Lonchura striata: one gene and its partner. The protein of the gene in region 1 interacts with the protein of each later gene in a pairwise test. Links are inferred from orthologs where the notes say so. Each region holds a gene or a part of one and is shown in the gene's direction. Other genes may lie near its edges.

What was found. The genes of interacting proteins can lie anywhere in the genome.
Region 2: the proteins of TRAF3IP1 (region 1) and SNAP91 interact in a two-hybrid assay, tested with the Homo sapiens proteins (2 studies listed by BioGRID and IntAct). The link is inferred for Lonchura striata from reciprocal best matches to the Homo sapiens genes TRAF3IP1 and SNAP91.

What each region holds. Positions count from the first base shown.
Region 1 is NC_134610.1:36,519,224-36,526,221, forward strand, and holds the start of TRAF3IP1 (TRAF3-interacting protein 1), read left to right. Parts: upstream 1-3,989; 5' UTR 3,990-4,075; coding exon 4,076-4,198; intron 4,199-4,725; coding exon 4,726-4,794; intron 4,795-6,051; coding exon 6,052-6,213; intron 6,214-6,998.
Region 2 is NC_134605.1:80,055,389-80,062,724, forward strand, and holds the start of SNAP91 (clathrin coat assembly protein AP180), read left to right. Parts: upstream 1-4,333; 5' UTR 4,334-4,451; intron 4,452-5,058; 5' UTR 5,059-5,088; coding exon 5,089-5,218; intron 5,219-7,336. UniProt on the Homo sapiens protein: Adaptins are components of the adapter complexes which link clathrin to receptors in coated vesicles. Clathrin-associated protein complexes are believed to interact with the cytoplasmic tails of membrane proteins, leading to their selection and concentration.

The sequences.
Region 1 (6,998 bases):
GTACTCAGGAAAAAGGCATTTATTTTCAGGGCTCCTCTTCAGAGGAATTTCCCTCATTTCTCATCTTTCCAGCTGTTCTGATACTCTCTTATATTGGAGAACCTGTTTCTCTTGGTGTCCTGAGCTGATTTTGAGCAGCTCAGTGAGCTGGGCTCCAGGTCAAAGGCTCTGAAGTATTAACTCCAAAGTGAGCCTGATTATCCTGAATTAAATCTGTGATTATGACAGGACAAAACACAAGTTTGCTTTTGGGGGTTGCAGTAAGTATTTGACCTATTTTCTGTATGTAGTAGGAGCTGCCAGTTGAGCAGATTTCCCAAATTTTGGCTAATGTAAGATTTTTCATGTACCTTTTATAGGTTAACACTACTACATTTGAGACAGCATAAAGATAAAATCTGACACTTTGCTAGCAGCTAAAAAAAAAAAAAAAGAAGTGAAAAGCACCATAAAGCACACAATTATATTATTTTTTATTTCTCTGCATATCTTTAGAATTCAGCAGGTACTCCTGTGCTTTTTGGGGCTGATACTCTGCAGAAGGGGCTGTTAACGTCCTCACTCACTTGGATCCTGAAATCCCAGTTTCATGGATACATTTTCTGCCTGAGGGGAGGGCAGTGGATGTTTTCCCATCTTAATTTGTGTCACCTTCTTTCCATATCAGGTGTTCTTGGGAGCCTGGGTTTACAGCAGGGGTCAGAGGTGCCGATTCCAAAGGTTTGTGTTCCCACATGGTTACAGTCCATTGGATTTATTTGCTGTCACTTCAGTTCCTCCGGTTCCTGCTGGAGAGCTGGACTGAGCTCAGCCTTCCTCTCTTGAATAACTCTGGTCTCTCCCTGAGAACACCAAGTTTAGAGAAATCAAAATGAAAATTAGAAGAGGGAATTTTGTGCCTTTGTTCAAGTGTAATGTAGCAGCACCTGCACTGAACGAATCTTGGATTATTTCTAATGTTGGCTCAAAATGAATTTTTTTTTTCTTCTTTGAAACTCTTGTGGGCCACTCCACATTGGGAGTTAATGGAAAACAGGGCTGGGGAGAGAAAGCACCTTTTAAAAATGGAGTCTTTGGCTCTGTGGGTTCTGATGGTTATTTGCAAAGCCTTGAAGAGCTTTCATCTTTATTTTTCAAGTGTTCTTCACAAAATTAAATGTCATTTTTATCTGCCTAGTTGGGTTATCTGTGGATGTCTCACTGGTTGAGAATGGCACAAACTGGTTTCTGACATGAGTATTAATCAGCATTCATCTTCCAACGTTCCTGAACCAACATTCCCAGCTCTGGGGGAGGTTTCCCCTTTCCTTGTGGCTGTTGTCTTTTCCTGAGGCTCCTGGTTTGGTCCTGGCTCAGGGCTCTGAGTGCAGGAGCAGCTTTGTTTTCGTCCTATGTTTCCAATCCCTGTGGGGAAAGCACTGAGGTTGGCAGGGAATGTTCCTCCATCAGGACACAATGCCACTCTGATGCCCTAGACTTATGAAAAGCCTTGGAATTTTTTTTATCCCAGTTTTAATGAGTTGTTTGGAGTGGTTATTTTGAGCAACAGGTTTTGACTGAAATCAGCAATTGGCTTCTAGAGACTACTGAGCCAATTTCTGGGAAAAAAATTATATTTAGGGTGTTGGTGTTTTGTTTTTTTTTTTTGGGGGGGTGGTTTTGTTTGTTTGTTTGTTTGTTTTGTTTTGGTCATCTACCTCATCCCAGCTTGCTCAGACCTTTCTGGGATTCTGGACCTTGAGACTGGGGGTTTCCAGGTACAGAGTTGAGCTGAAAGATTGCTACATTTTTCTCAGCATCCTTTCCTTCCTGACAGGTGCAGAGTTCATGGCATTTCCAAGAGGTTTACTAGGGCCATTGGGAAGAAATCCTTCCCTGTGAGGGTGGTGAAGCCCTGATCGTGGGTTTTGGTTTCCAGTTAAATGGACCTGTGCTTCCTTGGGGTGCCTGTGTGGGAAAATGAGCTAATGAGGCCAAATGTAAATTCCCCCCTGAGATTCCTCTTCAGGCATCTCAGATGCTTCCTAGATAGTCAGTGAAAAAGCCCAGATAAACTACACAATCCCAAAATAAACATTCCCTCTTTCACAGAGCAGCTTCTTGCTTCCTCTGAGACTTCTTCCAATGCCCTGGGATGTGGAAGCTGTCAACACCTCCTGTTCTTCCCAGGATCACCAGATCCTGGAGTCAGAGCCTTTCTGGGAACCTCAGGGTTAGGGGGGAAGGTAAAATGCACTTCCCCCCTTGAGCACCTGCCAGGAGCCCAGGTGAAATTACCCTCTTGGTATAGAAGTGTCTACTGCCTTTTTGCTGGAAAAATTTCCTTGCCTGCACTAAGACCAGATGGATTTGCTTTGTAATACCTCCATTAATTCCCAAATCTGACTCTTTCTTTACAAAAGGCTGTGGGTTGGAATGGAGTGGGTGATCAAGTGCCACCCTCTTGCCATGGCAGGGACACCATCGACTATCCCAGGCTGCTCCCAGTCCTGTCCAGCCTGGCCTTGGACACTCCCAGGGATCCAGGAGCAGCCACAGCTGCTCTAAAAACAGTGCCAGCACCTCCCAGGAAACAATTCCTGCCCAATATCCCATCCATCCCTGCCCTCTGGCAGTGGGAAGCCATTCCCTGTGTCCTGTCCCTCCATGCCTTGTCCCCAGCTCCTCTCCAGCTCTCCTGGAGCCCCTTCAGGCCCTGGCAGAGGCTCTGAGCTCTCCCTGGATCCTTCTCCTCTCCAGGTGAGCACCCCCAGCTCTCCCAGCCTGGCTCCAGCCTTGCAGCATCTCCCTGCTCTCCTGGATTTGCAGTCCCTGTTTCTCTTGTGTTGGGTCCCACAGAGTCACCTCTTAAGTGATGAAGCAAAAACAAACAAACAGAAAAAAAACCCCAAAACAAAACAAGACAAAAAACAACAACAAAAAAACTTTTCCTGCTCCAATTCCTGCTGCTGACACACAGCATGTCTCCCTAACACGTTGTTCACTGCCTCTTGCTCTGAGGGGTAGGGGGGCATGGTTTTGAGGCTGTTTATGGGGGATTTGGGGCTGTTTCCAGGGGTTTTGGGGGGCTGTTTCCAGGGGGTTTGGTGCTCTTTTCGGGGGTTTTGGGGCTGTTTCCAGAGGTTTTTTGGCTGCTTCCAATGGTTAGGGGCTGTTTCTGCGTTTTTGGGGGCTGTTAATGGGGATTTTGGGTGCTGTTTCTGCAGTTTTGGGGGCTGTTTCCAGGGATTTTGAGGCTGTTAATGGGGGTTTTGGGTGCTGTTTCTGGGGATTTTGGGGCTGTTCATGGGGGTTTTGGGAGCTATTTTGGAGGGGTTTGTGGCTGTTTCTGGGGCTGTTTTCCGGGGATTTGGGGGCTGTTTATGGGGATTTTGGAGGCTGTTTTGGGGGGGGTTGTGGGCTGTTTCTGGGGATTTTGGGCCGTTTATTGGGGTTTTAGGGCTGTTTCTGGGGATTTGGAGTTTGTTTATGGGGGCTGTTTCCGGGGGTTTTGGGCACTGTTTATGGGGGCCTTTGGGGGCTACTTTTGGGGATTTTGGGGCTGTTTCCGGGGATTTTGGGGCTGTTTCCGGGGATTTTGGGGCTGTTTATGGGGGCTTTGGGAGCTATATTTGGGGATTTTGGGGCTGTTTCCGGGGATTTTGGGGCTGTTTATGGGGGCTTTGGGAGCTATTTTTGGGAGGCTTGGGGGCTGTTTCTGGGGCTGTTTCCGGGGATTTGGGGGCTGTTTGTGGGGGGTTTGGGGCTGTTTCCGTGGATTTGGGTGCTGTTTCCAGGGATTTTAGGGTGGTTTCCAGGGTTTTGGGGACTGTTGCTATGTTTTTTAAGGCTGTTTCCGGGTGTCTCGGGGCTGTTTCCCGGGTTTTCCTCGCTGAGGGCGGAGCGGGCCGGGCCGGTTGCTATGGCCGCGGCGCCCCTTAGCGACCGGCGGCTCGCGCGGGGCACGCCGGGAGCGGCGGGCCGGGGGCGGGCGCGCCCCGCCGCGGTGCCGGTTCGAGCCCCGCCGCGGTGCCGGTTCGAGCCCCGCCGCGGTGCCGGTTCGAGCCCCGGCGCGGCCCGGCCCGGCCCCGCCGCGATGAACGAGGCGGTGTCGCGGCAAACGCGGGAGACCCTGGGGCAGGTGATCCGCAAGCCGCCGCTCACCGACGCGCTGCTGAGCAAGCCGCCCTTCCGCTACCTGCACGACCTGATCTGCGAGGTGGGTGTGTGGAAGCCTGTGGGGCGTGCCCTCAGCGGTGTGTGAATCGCGGGGCTCTGGGCACTGCGTGAGTTTGGGGTGGAAAGGCGCGTGTGGCGGTCGGAAAGGGGGTCACGTCTGCAGAGGCAGGGTTAGGTGGGGTTTTGGGAAGGAATTCTGCCCTGTGAGGGTGGGCAGGCCCTGGCACAGGGTGCCCGGAGAAGCTGTGGCTGCCCCTGGAAGTGGCCCAGGTTGGACAGTGGGGCTTGGAGCAGCCTGGGGTAGTGAAATATCACAGAATCCCAGAATCCTTGAGGTTGGAAAAGCCACCCGAGATCTCTGAGCCCAGCCTGTGCCCGATGCCCCCCTTGTCACCAGCCCGGAGCACTGAGTGCCATGTCCAGGCCTTCCTTGGGTACCTCCAGGGATGGGGACTGCACTCCAGTGCCTCACCACCCTTCCCACGAAGAATACATTTCCTGCTGCCACACAAGATTTATTGAGCAGAGGCTTTAAATGTTCTTGACTTACCCCATTCTGTTTTTTAGGTGATCAGAGTGACAGGTTTTCTGAAAGGACTTTACACAGATTTCGAGTTGAAGTCTGATAATGTCAAGGTGGGCATGGGACTTCCTTATTTATTTAGTTTTCAGTGTTTTTTGCAACTCGCCAGAAGGTTCTTTTGGTCTTTTCTGTGTTCAGCACCAAGGAGCTGTTGTTATTTTTGTGAAGAAGTTGTAAATCCTGCCTGTGGGGTATAATATACTTTCCATGGGGTGAACACCTATAGTTCTGTGTCCAAATTTCTGGTTTTAAAGAGTCTTGTGGTCTCTCAAGAGAATCCATGGCCCTTAACTTACTGCTCTATATATCTTTGTTTATAAATATCCCCAGGACTCACCTATCTAGGATATGCAGTAGCTTTATTGCTGTGTAAAACTGGCTGATTACTGAAAGAGGAGTTTGATATTATTACTGAAAACTCCTTAAGTCCAAGGTTGACTTTACTCTCTGTCTGCTGCTTTCCTCTGATTTTTGGCTGAGCTGATGCTGAGTTCCCAGCTCCCATCCTGATTTGGGAGCTCTGGTTGCTGATTCCTGGCAAACAGAGCAGTGTTTGTGTGTTGCCACTTAGGCAGCTGATCCCATGGTGTTTGTTTAATGTAGCAACTGAAGTGTGAGCTCTGACTCCTCATCCCTCCAGCCAGCTCTTGCATGTTTTAGTCACTGATTAATGTGTGTGTTTATTTCTGTGACTGTTCCTACTGCCGTCAGGATAACTAAAATTAAGTAATTTATAACTGAATTGTTTGGTTTCTTGATAGTGTCCTTGTTGACCCAAAAAGCAGATTTCCCAGCTGCTCCTGAGCAGGTCTTTGTTGCATCTACGTGCTGCTATGTCTCTGAGAATTTGTTTCACAAATTTCTTTCACAGCCGATAAGTCCTTGGGGTTTTCCAGAGCTCAGGCAGAGGAAATCAAAATCCTGGAGCGTGGGGGAAAATGTCTCAGCCTTAAGTTCCTCTTCCCAAAACTGGTCAGGATGAAGACTCAGCTGCTTCCTTACTGTGATCTCTCTTGGAGTTGTAGAAGATCTGGAGAATAATTTTTTCTGAGTAATCAACAGGAGAGAGCTGTAAGGAGGACTGAAATCATGATGATTTCTTAATTGTGAGGACTTCTGTGAAATTTCACTTGGCTTTACTTTGTTTATTTGATCTTTTATTTTTACTTCTGATTTTATGTTATCACTGGAAGACATCATCTCTAGTGAAGGGCAGCTGGGGCAGGTTGTTATTAAAGGATATTTGTAAAACTAAAACAAACATGATTATTGTGGAGATAAAAATTTTCTCTTAATTGCTGTTTTACCAGGATAAGGATTCCAAAATCAACTTCCTTCAGAAGGCCATCGATGCTGTTGTGATGGTGACAGGAGAGCCACTGTCAGTGAAACCAGCACGAGTTGTGGCTGGACACGAGCCTGAGAAAACCAATGAATTCCTTCAGGCAATTGGGAGGTGTTGCTTAAATAAGGTAGGAGATGATACAGATTTTATGCACACAGGGAGCAGGGACAGGAGGAGAGGGAGCAGCCGCAGGCTGGGCCAGGGCAGGCTCAGGGTGGACATCAACAGGAATTTCCCCATGGAAAGGGTGCTCAGGCCTTGGCAGGGGCTGCCCAGGGTGGTGTGTAGTCCCCATCCCTGAAGGTGTCCAAGGAACACCTGGAGGTGGCACTCAGAACTCAGGGCTGGTGACAAGGTGGGCATCAGTCACAGCTTGGACTTGATGACCTTGGAGGTCTTGTCCAACCCAAATATTCTGTGTTTTAATTACCCCTCTGCTGTCACTAATTGCACAGTAGAAACATTTTGTCACCCCTTAATAACAATAACAGCAGATAGAGAGTTCTTGATCTTCAGCAAGAGCTTGAGCCAGCTTCCCACACAAATGCATTCTGAATATTAAGGATTTTATTGCTTACTGTTGTTCACTTTATTTGTTTGTCTTTTAACAACACTTATTAGATTTGAAGCACAAAATGAAACTTCTGAACCTTTAACATTTTGGGGTACAGATGCATTACTTAAATAACCAGTTCCTTTGGCTTTATCTCCTTTCAGTCAAATCTCTTAATCGTGGAATGCAAGTAATTTCTCCACTGTGCTTTTTTTTGATTATGGAAATACAATAATGGCAAAATTTGATAATTGGTTAAAAACAACTGCAGGAGCTGTTCTTATACAGAATTATTGCATTCTTTCACAGAAATATTATGTTTTTACACTGAATTGTTACATTCATAAAATAATAATTGT
Region 2 (7,336 bases), on another chromosome or scaffold:
GACAAATTTAAGCCTAGTCTGAATCTGTTGTGTGGAAGTGCAATACGCTTCATACTTCCAGACTTTTGCTTTGGAAGCTCTATCAGGATTACAAAATTTGTGACCAAAATCAATACTAAATAGTAAGGAATTTCACAGGTACTGACTTTCACAAATACAGGACTTTTGCTCCATTTCTGATACATATGTCCATCTGTCCCCTTTCTAGTCTATTAACCTCAGTGTTATTGCCAGACACAACCCAGAAAACTACTCCAGCAGCAAAAGCTATCCTTGTAATGTGGATGATGGGGTCCATTAATGCATCAGTCAACAGAGGTCTCTAAAATAATACTGATTTTAAGGTGGTCCTTGTGGGAACCAGCATGCTGGGTAAGGAACACATCTTTATCATCTGTACAGAACAGGCCAATTACCATCTTTCTGTAACCAGCTCTAATATGCAGGCACTCCATATTCTGCAGAACATGACCTCACTCTGGCATGGCTTAACCAGCAGTAAAAGAGCTCATCAGCCATGCTTTGTGTAACTTTTCTATTCATTCTCTCTCTTAACTAAATTAACTTTTTAATATTCAAAGATCTTCAAAGACACAAAAAAGGCCTTTCCTATGGGATGTAGAGTATATACTCATGCCACCAAGCCTGTACCCTTACCACTGTGTATGGCAGTTCTCTTAGATTCAGTAGCTCAAGTAGTTCTCCAAAATGAGATGAATCTTCTGCCTGGGATGTACAAACACATTCAAGCTACATCCTTCTCAGACCATCATTCAGACTGGAAAATTGACAAACTGCTTTCTCATTGCTGCTTTATATCACAGCAACCAAAGGAACTACTGAAACAAATGCCATTAAGGATGGTGAGTACAGAGGCTGAATAAACACTTGGGGACAGAACCTTTACAAGACCAAGCAATGAGGTTATATCTGACAGAAGAAGCCCAGAAACTCCTGAGTATTGCATTATTTGAGCACCTACTGTTGTGTTGTAACTTCTGTTGCATTGTAGAGAAAGCCTAATGCAAACTACCTGGCTCTATCAACCTGATACAAAGTCAGGAGGATGCTTCTCATTTGAAAAGTCTTTTTTCCCCCTTCCTAGAGCTAAACAGATCTGTTTAGGACTGCTGCTATCACTATGGTTACAGCCAGCCTCTCCAGGAGCTCTGTTTGTACCACTGGCCCTAAGAGTAAGAGGTAGAAGCAGAACAACAGCACTGGGCCTGATGCAAGCTCAGGCACAGACAAGCTGGGTCTAAATCTCTGCCTGGCCTGTGAAGGCAGGAGGAAACGGCACCAAAGCTGGCTGGAGAACTGGAAGACTTGGCAGGAGAAACTGGGGAAAAAATGGAAAAAAAGCAGAATTATGGTGAGAAACAACCAGATTTTCATTGCACCTTAGTGCACAAAAATAGTCTACATGCCTTGTATCACCGAAGAGATGGGCGTCTCTGGGGCAGAATTCAGGTGTGAGGTGTGATGAATCAGCCCTTACACATGCCTCCTTCCCTCCACGTGTGCTTGAATGTGAGGTTAATACGGACCAACTCTATTTTTCTCACTTCAAATTAAGTTAAGAATTATCTTTCTGCTTCAAAATGGCTATTCAGTTTGTCATTGATATATCTCCTCTTCTTTAAGGCTCTCATTATTAAGTTGAAAGCACATTTACAAAGAGTCAAGAAAGACATCACTGATTCTGTGATATTTTTAACAGCAAGAACTCTTTTCAGCTGCTCATATGTCCCTCATCCAGACCTCCACCAGCCAAGCTGTGAACCTGGGTTTCAGAGAGCCAGCACACCAGCACACCAGGCAGCTTCTTGGGACTTCATCTTGGGGCTGTGAAATGTCAACCCCAACTCCCCATCTATTTAGTCATAGTCAGCTCTCTCTGGTGTATCCTTATTCAAGATGGCTCCTATTTCCTGTGCGGTTTTCAATACAAACACGAACTTCTGTTTTGTGGGGTTGGCTTATTTTTGGGGGACTGGTGTTTGGTTTTAAATCCAAAAGCAATACAGATTCAGTAGATCACATCCCTTTACTCTGAATTTAAAGAGTACTAATATCTTCTTGTCTTACCTTCTTAAAGCACCTTAGGTTTTCATTAAGAAACTGCATAAATTTTAAGGCAATATAGATTATCTGACTTATCTTCTGCTTCAATATATTGGCGATATGAAGATATAAAATTAGCTGAGTAATAACAATCACAATTTTTGGTGACACAGATGAGAATCTCAGTGACAGTATCTGTTGATAACAACACAGACTAGTTAGAAAGTATCCAGACCTTCACAATGAAGACGTACACTAGATGTTAATAAAAGCTGCATCACTAATTAAATACTTAGACTAGCATAAAACTGAAAACTATCATGCTTGCAGGAAATAAAACCATCCTAAATTTCTGCTCTATGGAGTCTACAAGGTCCAAAACAATTTGTGTTTTTCTTCTGTAATATATCAGTTTAAAAGGAAGTTTCTCTTTTAAAGTCAAGCCATTCTAAACTCCTGAAAGTATTACCAAGAAAAGTTCAGAGTCACTCAACGCCAGTAATGAAACATGAAGTATCATTAGATCCCAACTCTTTCTTTCCTCTGAAATCAATCGGGAGTACAACCCCAATAACCAATTGTGAAGTACAGGGAAAAATTGTTTGTGTGCTTCTGCTAAGACATGCTTTTAGCTGCCACAAATCATATCATTAATGACAAATTCCTAGGCATTGAAGTTAACATTTCTGTGGTAACAGAAACAATTTCTAAGTATTACTAAAATTTGTCCATACTTGAACGGTGGACTACAGTAATGCTAAAGAGCACAGTATTATCTTTCTGTGCAACTCCATGGTTTATTTATTTGCTACTTAATATGGAAGAGAAGTGAGAAGTACGGACACATTCTCACTATTGGAATATGAGAATCTCTCTTATGGAAATATTCAAAGTTGGCAGATTCCTAATGCTGATTTATAACAGTGATATACACTTTACATCTTTTTTTGAAATTGAATTCCTCTCCGTAGTCAAACTGTATTTGAGAAAACCTTTGAATATTGAAATCCAAAAAATCTCTATCTGCTCTGCAAAAAAGAAGGAGATTTAACCAATATCAAAAATGTGCAAATCTGAACACCTGGTTTCAGTGGTCCAAGGCACCATTTTACAGCTATTTTGTAAGAATTTTCCCACAGAAAAGCTAACTTGAATTTTTGACCATTATTTTAACAGCATTCTCAAGCTTTCAGGCTACCTAGGATTTTAAAACGTCGGCGTTGTTGGGTAAAAAAAAAAAAAAAAAAAAAAAGAAAAGAAAAAAGAAAAAAAAGAAAGAATGAAGTAGTAAAAAACCTGCTGTTTCATACTGTCGCAGACCACAATCCTTTGTCAGTGTTCTGCTCCTGGTATAACAAATGAAAATGGTGCTGTGTGTCTTTGTGTGCAACACAACCCAATTATCACTTGGTGTGCACAACTCTTCAATACTGACTGTACATAGTGTTTTCTGCAGCTAATTAATAACATGCACTGACATCGTATTCTGAAATTTGTTCTACCGGCAGCTCAAAGTAATTGCTACCAGTGCCATTTCGTTTAGACCCCACCCACTTAAATCACTTTACTCCAAAACTAAGTTCAGCCAATTTATGGTAATATATGTACGCCACATTTCCCAATACTCCACGGATCACTCCGGTGTGCTTCAATTACACAATAAAATTGTAGCACTATATCCTCCCGAGTGTGGTTGGGTTGTAACCAAGACCCGTAGGGTACCTTAGGTAACAGAGAGAAAACCCATTCTGGGGACATATTTCAGATGTTTTTGATAACAATAACATCATAACAACATTCTGGAGAAATCTAGTCTATGTGCGGTTTTGGGATCCCTCAAGGCACTATTTTAAGCTTTTTCACGACAGGACCATGATGCAGACCGGGGAAGCATCAGTGGCTTCGGCTCCCCCGAGTCGCGGATCCCCAGTGGGACAGCCCCCGCGTGGGAGCATCTCCGGCCGTGCCCGCCGCCAGCTCCGGGAAGCGGGATGCGGGTGGGGAACGGGGTCACCTGACTGCGCCGGGGCACCGATCTGCGGCGGCAGCGCCGCTCGGCTCCGCTCCGTCCCGCCCTCTGCACCGGGCTAGGGGGCGGCGCTGCTGCGGCAGTAGCGCGGGGATTAGGCTGCGGGAGGATTAAGCCGCCGGCTGGAAATAGCAGCGTCGGCTCCCGGGCGTGGACGCCCAGCGCATCCCCGGCGGCGGCGGCGGGAGGGTGCAGCCCGCCCGGCACCTGGGGCTACCGGGGCCGGGGGGACGGGGGGGGCTGCTGCGCCGCGGAGCGCCTCGCCAGCGGGCCGGGCCGGGCAGCGGTCGCGGCGGGGGCCGGCAGTGCCCTCCCCGGAGCGGCGGCAGGAGGACGGGAGGGAAGGACGCGCTGACAGGTCGGCCGCTGGCGCTCGGTCCATCCCGCTGTCCCCCCGCGCCGGGATGCTGCATGGCGCTGGGCGCCGCCGCATCCAGCGGCGCCCCGCTTTCCGGGGCGGGGGGGGATCCCTGTCGGACCGGGGGTGGCGGTGGGGAGGCACCGGGAGGGCAGAACATGGCGCAACGGTGCCATAATCTCCCACCCGGGAGGCGGCGGCGCGGGCGGTGCGGCGGGGCCGGGGCGCGGCGGAGGCTCCGCCGCGGGTCGGGCGCTGCCGAGGCAGGTGCGGGAGGGATGCCTGCCCCCCATCCCGGGGGCTCGCACCGTATTTGTGTGCAGCCTCCTTCAGCTGCCGTCATTATTTCCCCTTCATCTGTTCCTCGCAACGCCTAAAATACCCTTCTTCCTGCCCCGGGCGGCTTCTAGCGAGGCAGAGGCTTACACAACGGGGCGGGGGGGCTGCGCCTCGGGAGGGGCCGGGCTGCCCGGGGGACCATTGTGCGTGCGGCGGGGCTGTGCGAGTGCCCGGCTGCGTGCGCCCCTGCCTGTGCGCCCCTGCCGTGCCTCCCCCCGGCCACAGACCCGGCATCTCCCCCTCCCCTCCGTGTCTTTCGCCCCTGCAGAGCAGGCAGCAGCCAGCACGCCGTTCGAAGATGTCGGGTCAGACGCTGACAGATCGCATCGCAGCTGCTCAGTACAGCGTTACGGGATCGGCCGTAGCCAGAGCCGTCTGCAAAGCCACCACGCATGAAGTGATGGGGCCCAAGAAAAAGCACCTGGATTGTGAGCATCCCTTTTTGTTTCCCCAGCGAAGGCCCGGGGCTGAGGAGCCTGCCCGCAGGGCACTTCAGTGGGCCTTTGAGCCGGCTGGCTGTCACGCTTGCTCTAATCCAGCTTGCAAAGCATGAGGGTGATGGGAAATCTCCAGGAGAGGATGAGTTATTATTGCATTTCTTCTCTTATTGCATAATACTGCTCTTTCGGCCATTTTTTTTCCTCATGACCTCTTGCCTTTTATTCAGGAAGACAGTGTAAAGAACGCCTTATGGAGCAGGGGCTCGGGAAGAAGGGAGAGAATCAGACATGGGGCAAAATGGACACATGCTTGTCATTGCCTACTTTGGTCAGGATTAAGCTAGGATGAGATATACATAAATGATATTCCTAGAGCTGGCCAAGCACCGGCATGAGTAGGGCCATCTCCACAGCACTGCATCTCCACTTCTGAAGAGGTGTGGGTGATGGCGTGCTTAAATGGCAAGGCACTGGGTTAACGCTGTGCTGTAGATTGGGACAACCTTTGGAGAGTTTAAGGGCTGTTGCTGAGGTCCCAAATATCGGACAGCAACTTTGTGAGCTGTCCAGTAGTTTGTGTCAATGTTTTATTGAAGGTGGCTGTTGGCTTTATCTCAGATTTTGGATGTATTCTGGACTGACATTAGCTAGTTAAGGCATGAAACAAAGTTGAGGCAAAACATTTATTGAAAAACAATAAGCTGGTCATGTTTCATCCTAACAATTTCATTACCGCTGTCAGCCCCTGCTTGGAGACACCAAGTAGTAGAGTGGTGAAAAAATTTGGTTGTGTGATGTTAATTGGACTTGTTTACCAGTAGTATCCCTGTCCAGCACTGAACTTGGCAGATCAACAGCAGCTGTTAGTATCTAAAACTAAATGGGTTTCCCGTGGTTTTTTTGGACATGGTAAGAAGTACATTCAAGTAAAGATCAGCAGGTTTTATACCAGGCAGTCTCTTGGCTGCTGGCCATTACTAAGTAATGCTGGTGCAGGTGTTCTGATGATGCAGTATTTGCTAAAAGCAGGTAGCATTACTTCTGGAAAATAATTCCAGATTTCACTTCTAATGACTTTGTAGCTTACCCTCCAAGTGACAAAGAGTAGGCTGGTCTTTCAGTATATGTAGATGCTCTTGCATATGTGTCCAAGAAATGCTGATGTAAGCAGCATTGATTGAAGACTCACTGGAGTCTAAACTGTTATTTAAGTAGATATTTGGTCTTGATATCAGGTATTCTGTCATGTTTTCTTGTATATTTAAAAATTAATTTTGGTTATTGATGTCTCTTCTATCTTGTTGTTAGGTAGTCATCAACACTTCTAAATTTTTTAAACGCTTTTTAGGCTGTGTCTGGATTGTCCTATACAGACCACATCTGTTTCTAGAAGTTTTAGCTTAGAAGTTCAAACATAGCTCATGTATTTGAAAGCATACTGTGTCTATGTGTCTCTGTGTTTCTGTGTGTGTATACATATATAAACAAAAGTACTGTCTGGAATAGGCAGGATTAAAGTGAGGTAGAAGTAATCTACCAGTGTTATAGTAAGGAGTGTAAAGGATTTGTGTTTGGATATTGGTGCTGATATTACTATTCAAGAAAGTGGGTTTTCTGGAGACAGAAGCCAGTAGAATTCCACAGAATTTCTTACCTACCTGCATGTCACATAAAAGAGGAAAAGAAGTTATAATTTCCTGGGAAGACATATGCCTGGGTTTTGGTTTTTTGTTTTTTGTTTTTTTTTTTTTTTTCTATTTTACAAGCTGTAAATAATAGTTCAGTTTCATTGGCTGGATGCATTTCAAGTCAGATAAGTAGCATTTGAAGATGTGAAGAATGAAAGGTAAAACTTTTCCAGTGCTTTAGATTAAGTTTTATGTCAAGGTATGAAGGATTTAGATTATTAAAAATTCTTCAGAGATTGATGGTTGGAGCAATCCCTTATGAAGAGCTGTAATTCTGGTATTGACATTGGGGTTCTGTGTCCTTAGGGAACTCCATAATTTTACTTAGTGTCTTACTGGCCAGGTGTCAAGTCACACAACCTCTCTTCCACTGCCCTACTTAGCAACTGGGCTTTGTAAATTAAATTGAAAGATCAAC